Rattus norvegicus: one gene and its partner. The protein of the gene in region 1 purifies or fractionates together with the protein of each later gene. This does not show direct contact. Links are inferred from orthologs where the notes say so. Each region holds a gene or a part of one and is shown on either strand. Other genes may lie near its edges.

What was found. The genes of interacting proteins can lie anywhere in the genome.
Region 2: the proteins of Ap1m1 (region 1) and Atg9a purify together in Homo sapiens (affinity purification with western blotting, with the first as the bait; 3 studies listed by BioGRID). This does not show direct contact. The link is inferred for Rattus norvegicus from reciprocal best matches to the Homo sapiens genes AP1M1 and ATG9A.

What each region holds. Positions count from the first base shown.
Region 1 is NC_086034.1:17,629,259-17,634,634, forward strand, and holds part of Ap1m1 (AP-1 complex subunit mu-1), read right to left. Parts: intron 2,114-5,376; coding exon 1,957-2,113; intron 1-1,956. UniProt on the Homo sapiens protein: Subunit of clathrin-associated adaptor protein complex 1 that plays a role in protein sorting in the trans-Golgi network (TGN) and endosomes.
Region 2 is NC_086027.1:84,129,196-84,134,571, forward strand, and holds part of Atg9a (autophagy-related protein 9A), read right to left. Parts: intron 5,173-5,376; coding exon 5,108-5,172; intron 3,704-5,107; coding exon 3,542-3,703; intron 3,407-3,541; coding exon 3,265-3,406; intron 2,718-3,264; coding exon 1,969-2,717; intron 1,889-1,968; coding exon 1,735-1,888; intron 1,633-1,734; coding exon 1,453-1,632; intron 1,097-1,452; coding exon 848-1,096; intron 662-847; coding exon 483-661; intron 376-482; coding exon 258-375; intron 1-257. UniProt on the Homo sapiens protein: Phospholipid scramblase involved in autophagy by mediating autophagosomal membrane expansion. Cycles between the preautophagosomal structure/phagophore assembly site (PAS) and the cytoplasmic vesicle pool and supplies membrane for the growing autophagosome.

The DNA.
Region 1 (5,376 bases):
ATTTAGGAGCAAGACTAGGAGAGCCCAGCTAGGTGGAGAAGCAGCCAGGGCCAGGCCTCTCTTCTTTCTGTTGGTGACAAAGCCCCTACAGTCCTCTGCTCTACCAACTGAGCTATCGAAGGAAGCCGACAAAGCCCTTCTGAGGAGAATGCTATACATGTCTATTCACTCCAAATAGGGAGCCCACAGTAGACCCAAGGATGGGCCATTTCCTTTCAGGTATCCTTGGAAGCTGCCCACTGGGTCCATATAAAGTCTGGTCATAGGGAAGCCAACACAGGTTAGAAAATTGTTAAGGCTGCTGGCTCTGCTGTGACGCAGTCTGCAGTTTTGCGTGTTCTCCTAACACTAATTATGGCCTGAACAAATGGACACATACATAAAATCAATCTGTAGATTTAGTACGACATCAGAAAGACATGAGAAACTCTCTCTCACCAGTGCAAACACAGCACAGCTACAAGCATTTCATGCAAGTGAGCAGCAGGGGAAGCCACCACCAAGGTCTCAGCCAGCTAGGCGTTATGTGTGGACATCCATGGAGATAATAGTGATAGCAGTCACTTCACTAACATGAAGACGACCAGGTGTAATGGCACTTCTACCTACCTTACAGCCCAGCTGAGGCTTGAATAATTGAAAGGAAAAGTGGAGGGCTACAGAGATGGCTCAGTGGTAAAGAGCATAGGTTGCTCTTCCAGAAGACCCAAGTTCAATCCCCAGCACCCACATGGTGGCTCATCACTGGCTTTAACTCTAGTTCCAGGGGATCCAATGCCTTCTTCTGGCCTGCAAACATGCAGGTAAAATATGTCTACAAATGATGCCTTTAAAAAGTAAAAAACAAAATGTTGTTTAAACAGGTAAAGAGTTTAAATCCAACTGGTACCCTACATGGATGGAGAAGGACACTCGCGGAGGTCATCAGGTTATTGGGTGAAGTCCCTGTGCCATGGGCAGACTATCTCCTGGGAGGTGCTGCAGGACACCCTGAAGCTCCATGAGCCATGCAGGCCGCTGCTGCTGTTGTACAGCAGAACCGGATGGTAAGAGCCTATTGTTGAAGACACTGCACTTGGACTGCAGAACATGGGGAAATTAAGTTGGAACCAAATGGAAACTCCCACCCTGCTGGTTGGCTTTCCTAGTGCCAGAAAGGGCTGTGAGGGCTGTTGATGAACAGTTATCAACACTCCTGCTCAGCTATGGACCCAGTGTGCTCAAACACCACATGTGCACTACTGGCACAGATATCATGGGTGACACCAACACCTTTCTATTGGACTTTAGGCCCACTCTACAAGGGAGTTCACAAATGCTAATATACATCAGGGAAAAAACCCTATGCCTGGGAGGGAGAGCAGGGCAGGAACTGCAAGGGAAGACCATGTCCCTGGGAAGAGGTGGCATCTGTGCCTGTAGGGGTTACACGCATGCACACATTTACTGACGAGGGGACTGGCAGCTGAAGAGCTCCTGCACAGCCAGATCTCCAGAGGTCTGCTCAAAGCCCAAAGTGGTGGGTGCAGCCACGGTGGGTCTCCACCTGGCATCACACTTGATTTGAGGCTGAAGCAGGGCTGAGGATGTAGGGCACATGAGATCTTCCCACCCCTACTCCTACCCTGTTCCCCTCATTTGTCCACTCCTGCTCCTGACAGTGTGGCCATACACAGCAGCCAGAAATCTCTAGACCACAAGGCCACCTATAGCCAGTCCACCCCATCCAAAGACCTACCCCATTTAACATGACACATCTCCAGAGGACAACTTCAGGCCCAGTTGGCTCCCACTCTTGCCCTGTGTCTCTCCCCTCCTCCCACAGCTGCAGCTTCTGGAATACTTAGCATTCCCTGTGTCCTCTGTGTGAGGCCTGTGTCCTCTGGCTGCCCAGCTCTTCTGTGCTGGTGGGCAGGCGTGTCATCCCCAAGGCCTGACTCCACAGCATAGGGATACGGTACAGGTTGTTGTGCTTAATCCACATGAAACGAACGCCACCATGGGCCAAGATAGGTGACAGCATGCCCTCCTCCTCCTTCTCCATCAGAATGGGCATGAAGTGCTCCACCTCTGACATGTCCACATCCCCACGGTAGTTCCTGCAGATGAGCACCTGCATTAGGAAGGAAAGAAGGGGTGGCTTCCTCTGAGGGTCTGAGGTAGGGGTGGGGACCATCTGTGAAGGGACACAACTTGAGGCTAGTCTGATTTTCACCCTATGAAGTCCCACCACAAGGCTCTTCCTTCAGCAGAAGGTGGAGAAAGGAGGGACTGATCCCCTCAGACACTGGGCCAAGCCTTGCCCTATGAGCACTCCATGCAGACCCTCTCAGTGTCTTTGCTGTGCTGGCACACTTGGCTCTCCTGAGCACCTGATCCCAGAGGAGTCCAAGTTCATGGGATCCCACTGAAGCCTGTACAGGAATAGCCCTGCCCTGGTCTTCCTCCTTGCATGGTGTCTGAACCACTGTCCATCATCCTGTGAAATAGCCAAAGTTGGTGGCTCCTCAGAAAGTGACACCAGAGTTAAGTATGACCCAGTGGCTCATCCTAGAGAATCAGAGAAGCTGTGTGTCCATGGGCACTCAACGGAGAATGAAGCCGGGAGTGGGTTCAAGGAGCCTCGGCACATCTCAAATCCACTATGTAGCCAAGGATAGCCTTGAATTCCTGTTTCTCCTGCTGCTACCTCCTGAGTGCTGGGATGACAGGTATGAGCCAGTCCACATAAATGAACACCCCAGTGGCTGAATCTTAAATAGAGCCACACCAGAGACAAAAGGACTTGTCTTGCAACAGATGTATGGAGAATCTGGCTGTTCCAGGACCCCAGGATTCCAGAATCTGAGGGCCCTCCAATACAGTGCTGTGGTATCTAAGGACAGCCTGCTCTGACAAAAAACATTCCTGAGGCTTTTGCTTTGTCGTGATGATTTCACTATGTAGCCCAGGCTAGCCTCAAACTCACGGCAGTCCTTCTGCCTCCAGAGTGGTTAGGTTATAGGCATGAGATACCAAACCCAGTTCAAATGCAACACCTTTCCCTCTCCCCGACCCCTCTCTCTTTGTGCTGCCACCTCAGATGATCTAGCTAGCCAGCAGGCTCCTGGGATCACGGGCTGCCATACCCTCCTGGTATTATGTGGGTCCTAGGAATCTGTACTCAGTTCTTCACACTTATATAGCAAACTGTTTCCCTGCTAAAAATACTTTGTCAAGCATGGTATGACACCTCTAATCCTAGCACTTGGAAGCAGAGGTAAGGAAGTTTACATAGTAAGTTTCAGACTGAACACAGTGAGACCCTGTCTTTTTAAAAAATCCTAGGTTTGCTGGGAATGACAGTGCAGGCCTTTAATCGCAGCACCCAGGAGGCAGAGGCTGGTGGATCCCTGAGTTTGAGGCCAGCCTGGTCTACAGATCAAGTTCCAGGACAGCCAGGGCTACACAGAGAAACCTGTCTCAAAAAACAAACAGGAGGTGGAGAGATGGCTTAGCAATGAAGAACACTGGCTGCTCTTGCAGAATCCCCAGAATCACATAGAAGTGCACGCCTATCCACGACTCCAGTTCCAGGGCTTCTGACACCCTCACACATGCAGTCAAATACTAACAACCATAAAATAAAAATTATGTGTGTGTATGTGCATACACACACACACACACACACACACATATATGCATACATATACAGATACACACTATGTATGTATATAAAACCAAATAAGCAAATAAATAAATCCCAGGAGTTGGGAAATGGCTCGTTACTTAAGTGCACTGCTATTCTTTTTTTTCCAGAGCTGGGGACCGAACCCAGGGCCTTGGCTTGCTAGGCAAATGCTCTACCACTGAGCTAAATCCCCAACCCCATGCACTGCTATTCTTTCAGAGGACCCAGGTTCAGTTCCCAGCTTCCACATTGGGTAGCTCACAAGTGCTCGTAACTCTAGCTGTAGGGGATCTGATGTTTACTTCTGGCCTCCAGGGACGCCTGCACACGTTCGCACATACCCGTATCCCTCTCGCCTCCCCACACACTTAGTAAAAAAAAAAAAAAAAAAACAAAAAAAAAACACAAAACCATTCGTGGTCAGCTGAGGGCAGATAAGAATGTGAACGCAGGACATGGGACTCTGAGCTGCAGGACATGAGGACGCCCAGGTAGGCTCTACCCTCAGAGTCACTGTGCATAGTGAAAGGAACCAAACAGGAATTGCTCCTTGGAATTACCCTGAGGAAATGGCTGCAGGAAGGGGCCATGAGGAAGCTGTGGGTGAGGGTTGAGGAGGTCCTGGTTACTTGGTGACAGTGCCTGTCTTGTCACGCTGCCTGCTGTCAGCATGGCTGGTTGGCCATGTGGCAGTGCTGCAGTTCTCCTGAGCTGCCACGCTAGACTGGCACCACCTGCTGCTGCATTTGCTCCTCAGAAAGCACGGTCTCTGCTGCTTCTAGCTGGGAGAGTGCAGTGAGGACGCTTCCTTCTGAGTTCTTTTTGGGCCTTGTGCAGACACAGCACACAAGGGGTAAGCTTTTGGGTCTGATGCTCCTTACCTCAGCTGAGGGACTCCCACTTGCCCACTTTTATTCCTCTTGCTACCTCTTATATGGTTGGCTGGTTAGTTTTACAGACTACAGTGCCCAGAGAGGTGGAGCTGCCTGCCTGAGGTAACACAGCACAGAGATCAGGGCTAGGATCTCCAAGACATCCTTACTCCCACTTACTGTGTGTTTGCCTGTGCTCACCAAGAACTGCTGTACTGGAAGGGAAGTCTACAGCCTCCCTGAGAAGCTTTCCAGAGGCAGGTCTGATCAAACCCCATCCTGGGGACTCCTCCCTGGAACTTCGGTGGCCGTGGAGCCTCCTCCCATTGGGCCCCCAAGGTCCCAGAACAGTCTATGGGCAACCTTTACACCCTACATGCCAACTGGGACATCTGTCACCTTCTCAGAACCACATCAGGTGTCTGCTCTGCCTGGAAGTCTTTTGTAACCTTCTCTGAATGCCAAACAGAAGGCCAACAACTGTTTGGCTGCTGGTTCAAGTGTTTCCTGCTAGGCCAAGAGGCCTGTGGAGCCCAAGTACCACGTTCTGTGGGCCTTTCCAGGGCAAGGCTTGTCCCACATCTACACTCAGTAACTCAGGAGACTCCAGATCCATTAGGAAGGCAAAGCTAAGACAGGCCAAGGTGCTTGTCTATGATCACACAGCTCAGCTGCAGAGATCCACATGTAAATCTAGCCCTCCAGCTTCAGCCCAGGATGGGTACTTGCTAGTTCCAATGAGATGTTTTCTAAAGGAATAAGCAAGCCATGGCAGGCAGCCCATTGCACCTCTAGGCCAGGGTGGACGGTAGAGCATGTGCCATGAGACCTAGG
Region 2 (5,376 bases), on another chromosome or scaffold:
GGGTAGGGAACACAAGCGAGGACATATGTGACAGCCAGGTATGGTGGTGTGTGCCTTTAATGCCAGCACTCAGGAGGCTGAGGCAGGTGGATTTCTGTGAGTTCAAAGCCAGCCTGTTCTATAGAGTGAGTTCCAGACAATCCAGGGCTGTTATACAGAGAAACTGTCTTAACCCCGGCTTCCCCACTAAATGACTTCTGTGAAAATGTAGAGGCAGAGAAGGCCTAGAATCTACTGCTTTGGGGCTGCCCACTCACCTGGTGCATATAGAGGGCATGAAGGCTCATCTCAGTGGACGCATATTCAGACAGCACCAGGCTTTGCAGCTGTCCTTCCCACACGCTGCTCCCGGAGCTGGCTGTCCTGGCGTCCACTCTGTCCCTCCCGGCACAGAAAGACAACAGGTATCAGCACTTTCAAGATCTATACCAGTTTTTGTGGGCTCCTGCCACGCCCTCCCATCGTGACCCACTTCCACTCACCCAGAGCCTGTCATGGTACTGGGAACACGGCCTTGAGGGGCCTGTCCAGGCTGTAGAGGGGAGAAGGATCTAAGGGCAGAAGCAACATCAGCCCTGTGCCTGGAACCCTGCAGGTCTCTGGACAGTGGGGGTCCTCGGCAGGACGAGCCTGCTACCACATTTGCAATGAGGCTCAGTGGCTATGGGGAAAAAATGGGGTTATGCAGAATTCTCAGGAGAGGGAGAGGCCTCTAGGTCCTCCAATGTCCTAAGCCTCAGGACCCAACAGCCCAGATTGAACAGGGAAAAATCTTGCACCCTGTGCCCCGTGCCATTCCTCTAACCACAATCCACTGCCCATCATCACCCAGGCCCCAGATACACACCTCAGACTCAGACTGTAAGGACTGGATGGATGTGAAAAGGGCATTCTCTGGGAGCAGACCACCCTGGGCAAGGCCAGCAGCCGCTCCATCTCGCTGCACCTGCTCCTTGAGGAAGCCCAGGAAGGCTGTGCTCTCACGAGGGGGCTGCCAGCCAGGATTGGTGATGGCAAAGTGCATGAGTGACAACTCGGTCTTCCCATCCTCGGCTTGCTGGTACACTGAGGCCTCAGTCTGCCCTCCAGACAGCCACTGCGTAAGGGAGAAGACGTGAGCAGGCCTGACTGCTTACAGGAGCCCTTCCAGGGGACAGAGACAGCAGGGCATTGTCACATCTGTCAAAGCCCTGATGCCCATCCCAAGAGTGGCCATATACAGGTCAGTCGCTAGTACTATACTAAGGGAGTGTGGCTCATGGTTCAAACCAGGGACGGAATCCAGCCAGATTCCTGGTCACCAAACCGCGTGTCCCTGGTGCGGGGATGCCCACAGGCGAGCTACACTTTTTGTCATCTGTCGGCTCGGAAAGGGTAGCCATTTGCAGTTTTCCCGAAGCTTACTGTGTGCCAGCCTTGTTCCTGGCCATCTGCCCTGACCTCTCCCAGTACCTGAGGATGACCGTGCTGGCGAACGTCCATCTGCGCAAAGGAGCAGGTGTCCCCCACACCGACGACCTCCACAGTAAAGTTTCGGAAGAAGTCTATGATCTCCAGGGCCCGTGGGCGTAGGCAGAAGATGAGAATGAGGGGTGTAACAATGGGACTCAGCAACTCCTCCAAGATGAACACCTGAAAGGGAGGGACAGGTTACTCACAAGCAGGACACAGTCCAGCCCTTGTCACCAAGATACCAGTCAGTCTCTAGCAGGCCCTAACTCCAACTCCACTCACTGCCTTGTACTGGAAGAGCTGGGCAAACTCGTCCCGGGTCTGCGAGCGGTGGGCATTACCCTGCCAGTGGTCAGGCATGTAGTGGATGTGGGCAAGGATCACTCGGAGCAGCTGCTCAGGGCAGAACACCATGTGCTGGTCTGGGATGAAAGACCTAGTGGGATCAGGTGCATGGTGAGACACGAGCCCTTCCCAGAAGGCCGCTCTGCTAGTCCCCGCACCGCCCTGGCACACCTGCACACAGTCACCGTGACTCCCAGTAGGGTGACAGTGGTGAGGACATGCTCCACAGCCAACACATCTTCATCGTAGATCGTGAGAGCAATAAGCACGGCCAGGATAGAGCCCGCGAAGAAGGCACCATTCTTGGCCAGCAGAGTCAGTAGCGGTGACAAGAAGCAATTCATGTACTTGGAGGCGGGCTTGTATCCTCGGTTGAGGCGGGACTGCAGCTCGTGTTCTAGCTCATTGAAGTGGCGGAGGTAGCAACGGCCATAGAGTGACCAGCAACGCGCTCCCAGGGCTCCCGGCTCTCTCTTCAGCACCTCGGCATAGCTGAAGAAGGCATAGAGGATCTGCCAGATGAGGATGAGGGGACAGAGCAGGAAGTTGGCGATGCCAATCCACAGGATGCGGTTGCTGAGACGCTGGGCCAGCTCTAGCCGTTGCCCTCCACGTTTGTACTCGGCCTTGAGGCTCCATTCATTGAGAAACAGAGAGCCGGGTCCCCAGAAGAGGATGAGCTCAAAGTTGTACTTGAGGCCACGGGTGAAGAAGACAACCTCTCCGAGGCCGGGCAGACGGAAGCGCAGAGGCAAGAGGGATTTGTTCACCAGTGCCACCATGTAGTTCTGGAAACGGAGGATGCGATGGTAGATGTCCAACTCTGTCAGCTCACGCTTGTGGATGCAGATCTGATGCTCTTTCTGGGTCTGCACAATCCGGGCCTGCACTTCCTGCCACGTGCAATACGGAAGGGCAGACTGCAGGACGGCGTGGACAAGAGACAGAGCAGAGGTGTTAGCTGAACCCGTTGTTCAACACAGATGTAAGATGTAAGTCGTGTGTTTAGAGCTATTTCCTGACCTGCTCCAGTTCAGACCTGGAATGCCCCTCAAAGGCTCATGTGTTAAGGGCTTGGTCCTTTGCCAATAAGGGGCTGCTCTTAGACGAGATTAATTGGGGCTTTAGATCCCACCCCTTCCTGCATTCCTCTCTACTTCCTGGTTGCCATGAAGTGAATAGGCTTCCTCTGTCATGTGCTCTTGCCATGATATACTCCCTCAGCACAGGCCCCTCAGCAACTGAATCAACCAATATTATCAACCAACGATAGACTAATATCTCCAAAACGGAGGCAAAATCAACCTTTCTCTTTAGAACGCTGATCGTCTCAGACATTTTTTTCATATTAACAGAACCCTGATTATGACACCTGCCAGTGAGAGCTACAGACACGTAATGCTCAGGAATGCATCCTTGCTAAGATCTCTTGGGCTGTGTGGCTAATGGTCCAACTTCCGGTCTTACCATTGGGATCCGCAGAGCATGTAGGTAGAAGGAGTGGATCTCCCAATAGCAGCAAATGTTATAGATAAACTTGATAAGCCGGTGGATCCAGAAGACACCAGCGATGACCAGGATGGTGATGAGGGAGCCGTTTTCCTGAATCCTGGTATGGAAAAAGATGGGGCAAAAGTAGGGTCCTTGAGGATGGAGTCTTAGCAACACGTTCTGGCGTGTGAGTTGCTGCTTCGCACCCCACTCTCCCCTCTACTCATTAGCAGGGTCTCAGGACCATCCTCACCTGGCACTGCAAACTTGGGCAGGCAAAAAGGCATCTGGCAGAGTGACCTTGACAGGCTCGGTAGGATGCAGACTGTGGTTCACCATCTTGTTGGCAAATAGGATGTCATAGTCCACACAGCTAACCAGGAAGGTGGTGAAGGCAACCACAAAGAGGAACTGCCTGGGAGTGGGGAAGGAGGGATGCAGGCCGTGAGTCAGGGAGGTGCTGGTGAAATAAAGTGCAGTGAGCAGAGAGGCTAGCGAGTGCTCAACAAGAGAGGAAATTAAAGGGGCTGGAGTGTTCCCAATGGCCTCTGCTACTGCTTAATCTCATAAGACCTTAATGGCACAACTTGCTCCTATGTTTTACTCTTAGGTTCAGGTACTTCAGAAGCAGCCTGCTTCATTGTGTGTGATAGAATGCTGCCGCCGCTGCCACCACCGCCACTGGACTTGATTTTCAGAGGTTTGATGATGATGGTCTTTAGTCTTTGACTGGGGATCCAACTCATGTCAACAGGATACACACAAGTGCCTTATTCTGCTGAGCCATCTCAATTGCCCAAACTTTTAGCAATCTTTTGTTTCTTTGGTTGGTTTTGTTTTTCTGGACAGGGTTTCTCTGTGTACCTCCGGCTGTCCGGGAACTCACTTGATCTAACCAGGCTGGCCTTGAACTCACAAAGATCTACCTGCCTCTGCCTCCCCGGTGCTGGGATTAGAGGTGTGCATCAGCACACCCAGCCATGAATTCCTTTCTTATCATCAAGAACTCCTTTTCTGCTGGGTGTGGGGACCCATGTTTTTAATTCCAGCACTCAGGCAGGTGGATGTCTTTGAGTTTAAGGTCATGCTGACCTACAAAGGTAGTTCTAGGACAGCCTCCAGGGTTACCTGGAGAAATCCTGTCTGAAAAACCCAAACAGAAATAAAAACAAACAAAACCATGAAACAACAACAAAAACAAACAAACAAACAAACCCCAAATCCTCCCCTCTGGCAACACCAGACTCTCTCTCCCCACTCCAGCAGCATGGCTAATGTGCAGTCAGGCAGCATACAGGCTCCAAGAGCTCCTGACTAAAACACACACACACACACACACACACACACACACACACACACACACCTCCTCCTATAGCTTAGTGAAGTGACTAAGTTGTAAGTTCTTGCTATGTGAGAGATAGAAACTGGGAAGCTCTTCTTACAAGAGGCAAGGCTATAGGTTTAAATGTTATACCTGGGGCTGGAGAGATGGCTCAGAGGTTAAGAACACTGAATGCTCTTCCACAGGACTTGAGTTCAATTCCCAGCAACCACATGATGGCTCACAACCATCTATAGTGGGACTGATGCCCTCTTCTGGTGTGTCTGAAGATAGCTACAGTGTACGCATATACATTAAATAATAAATAAATCTTTAAAAAAAAAGTTATACCTGGTCCTGAGATAGAAAGGTTTGTAGAGTTTGGGGCCTAGGATTGTGTTGCAGTTGCACGTGTAGCCAGGCATGAGCAAAAGGGAAGACAAGAATATTTACTATATTTATTCTTTTACTATAGCATGCATCCCTTCGTATACTTACATGAGTTCAAAAATCTCTCCAATGAGCATACATGTGAACCCATTCTTCTGATGTAGATTATAAACGTGTAAGTGTTAAGAAAAAGTGGCCAGTAAGCAAAGACACTTAATATAGACGTTGATGTCTACACACTCTCAAGCTGAAGTCCTGGCTCCATAACTCTCTGGAGTGTGATCTTTAACAGGTTACTTCCCTCAGCTTTGCCCACAGTGGCAAATTGATAACAGACATACCCTCCTTTTAGGGTTATTGGGTCTAGGAAAATACAA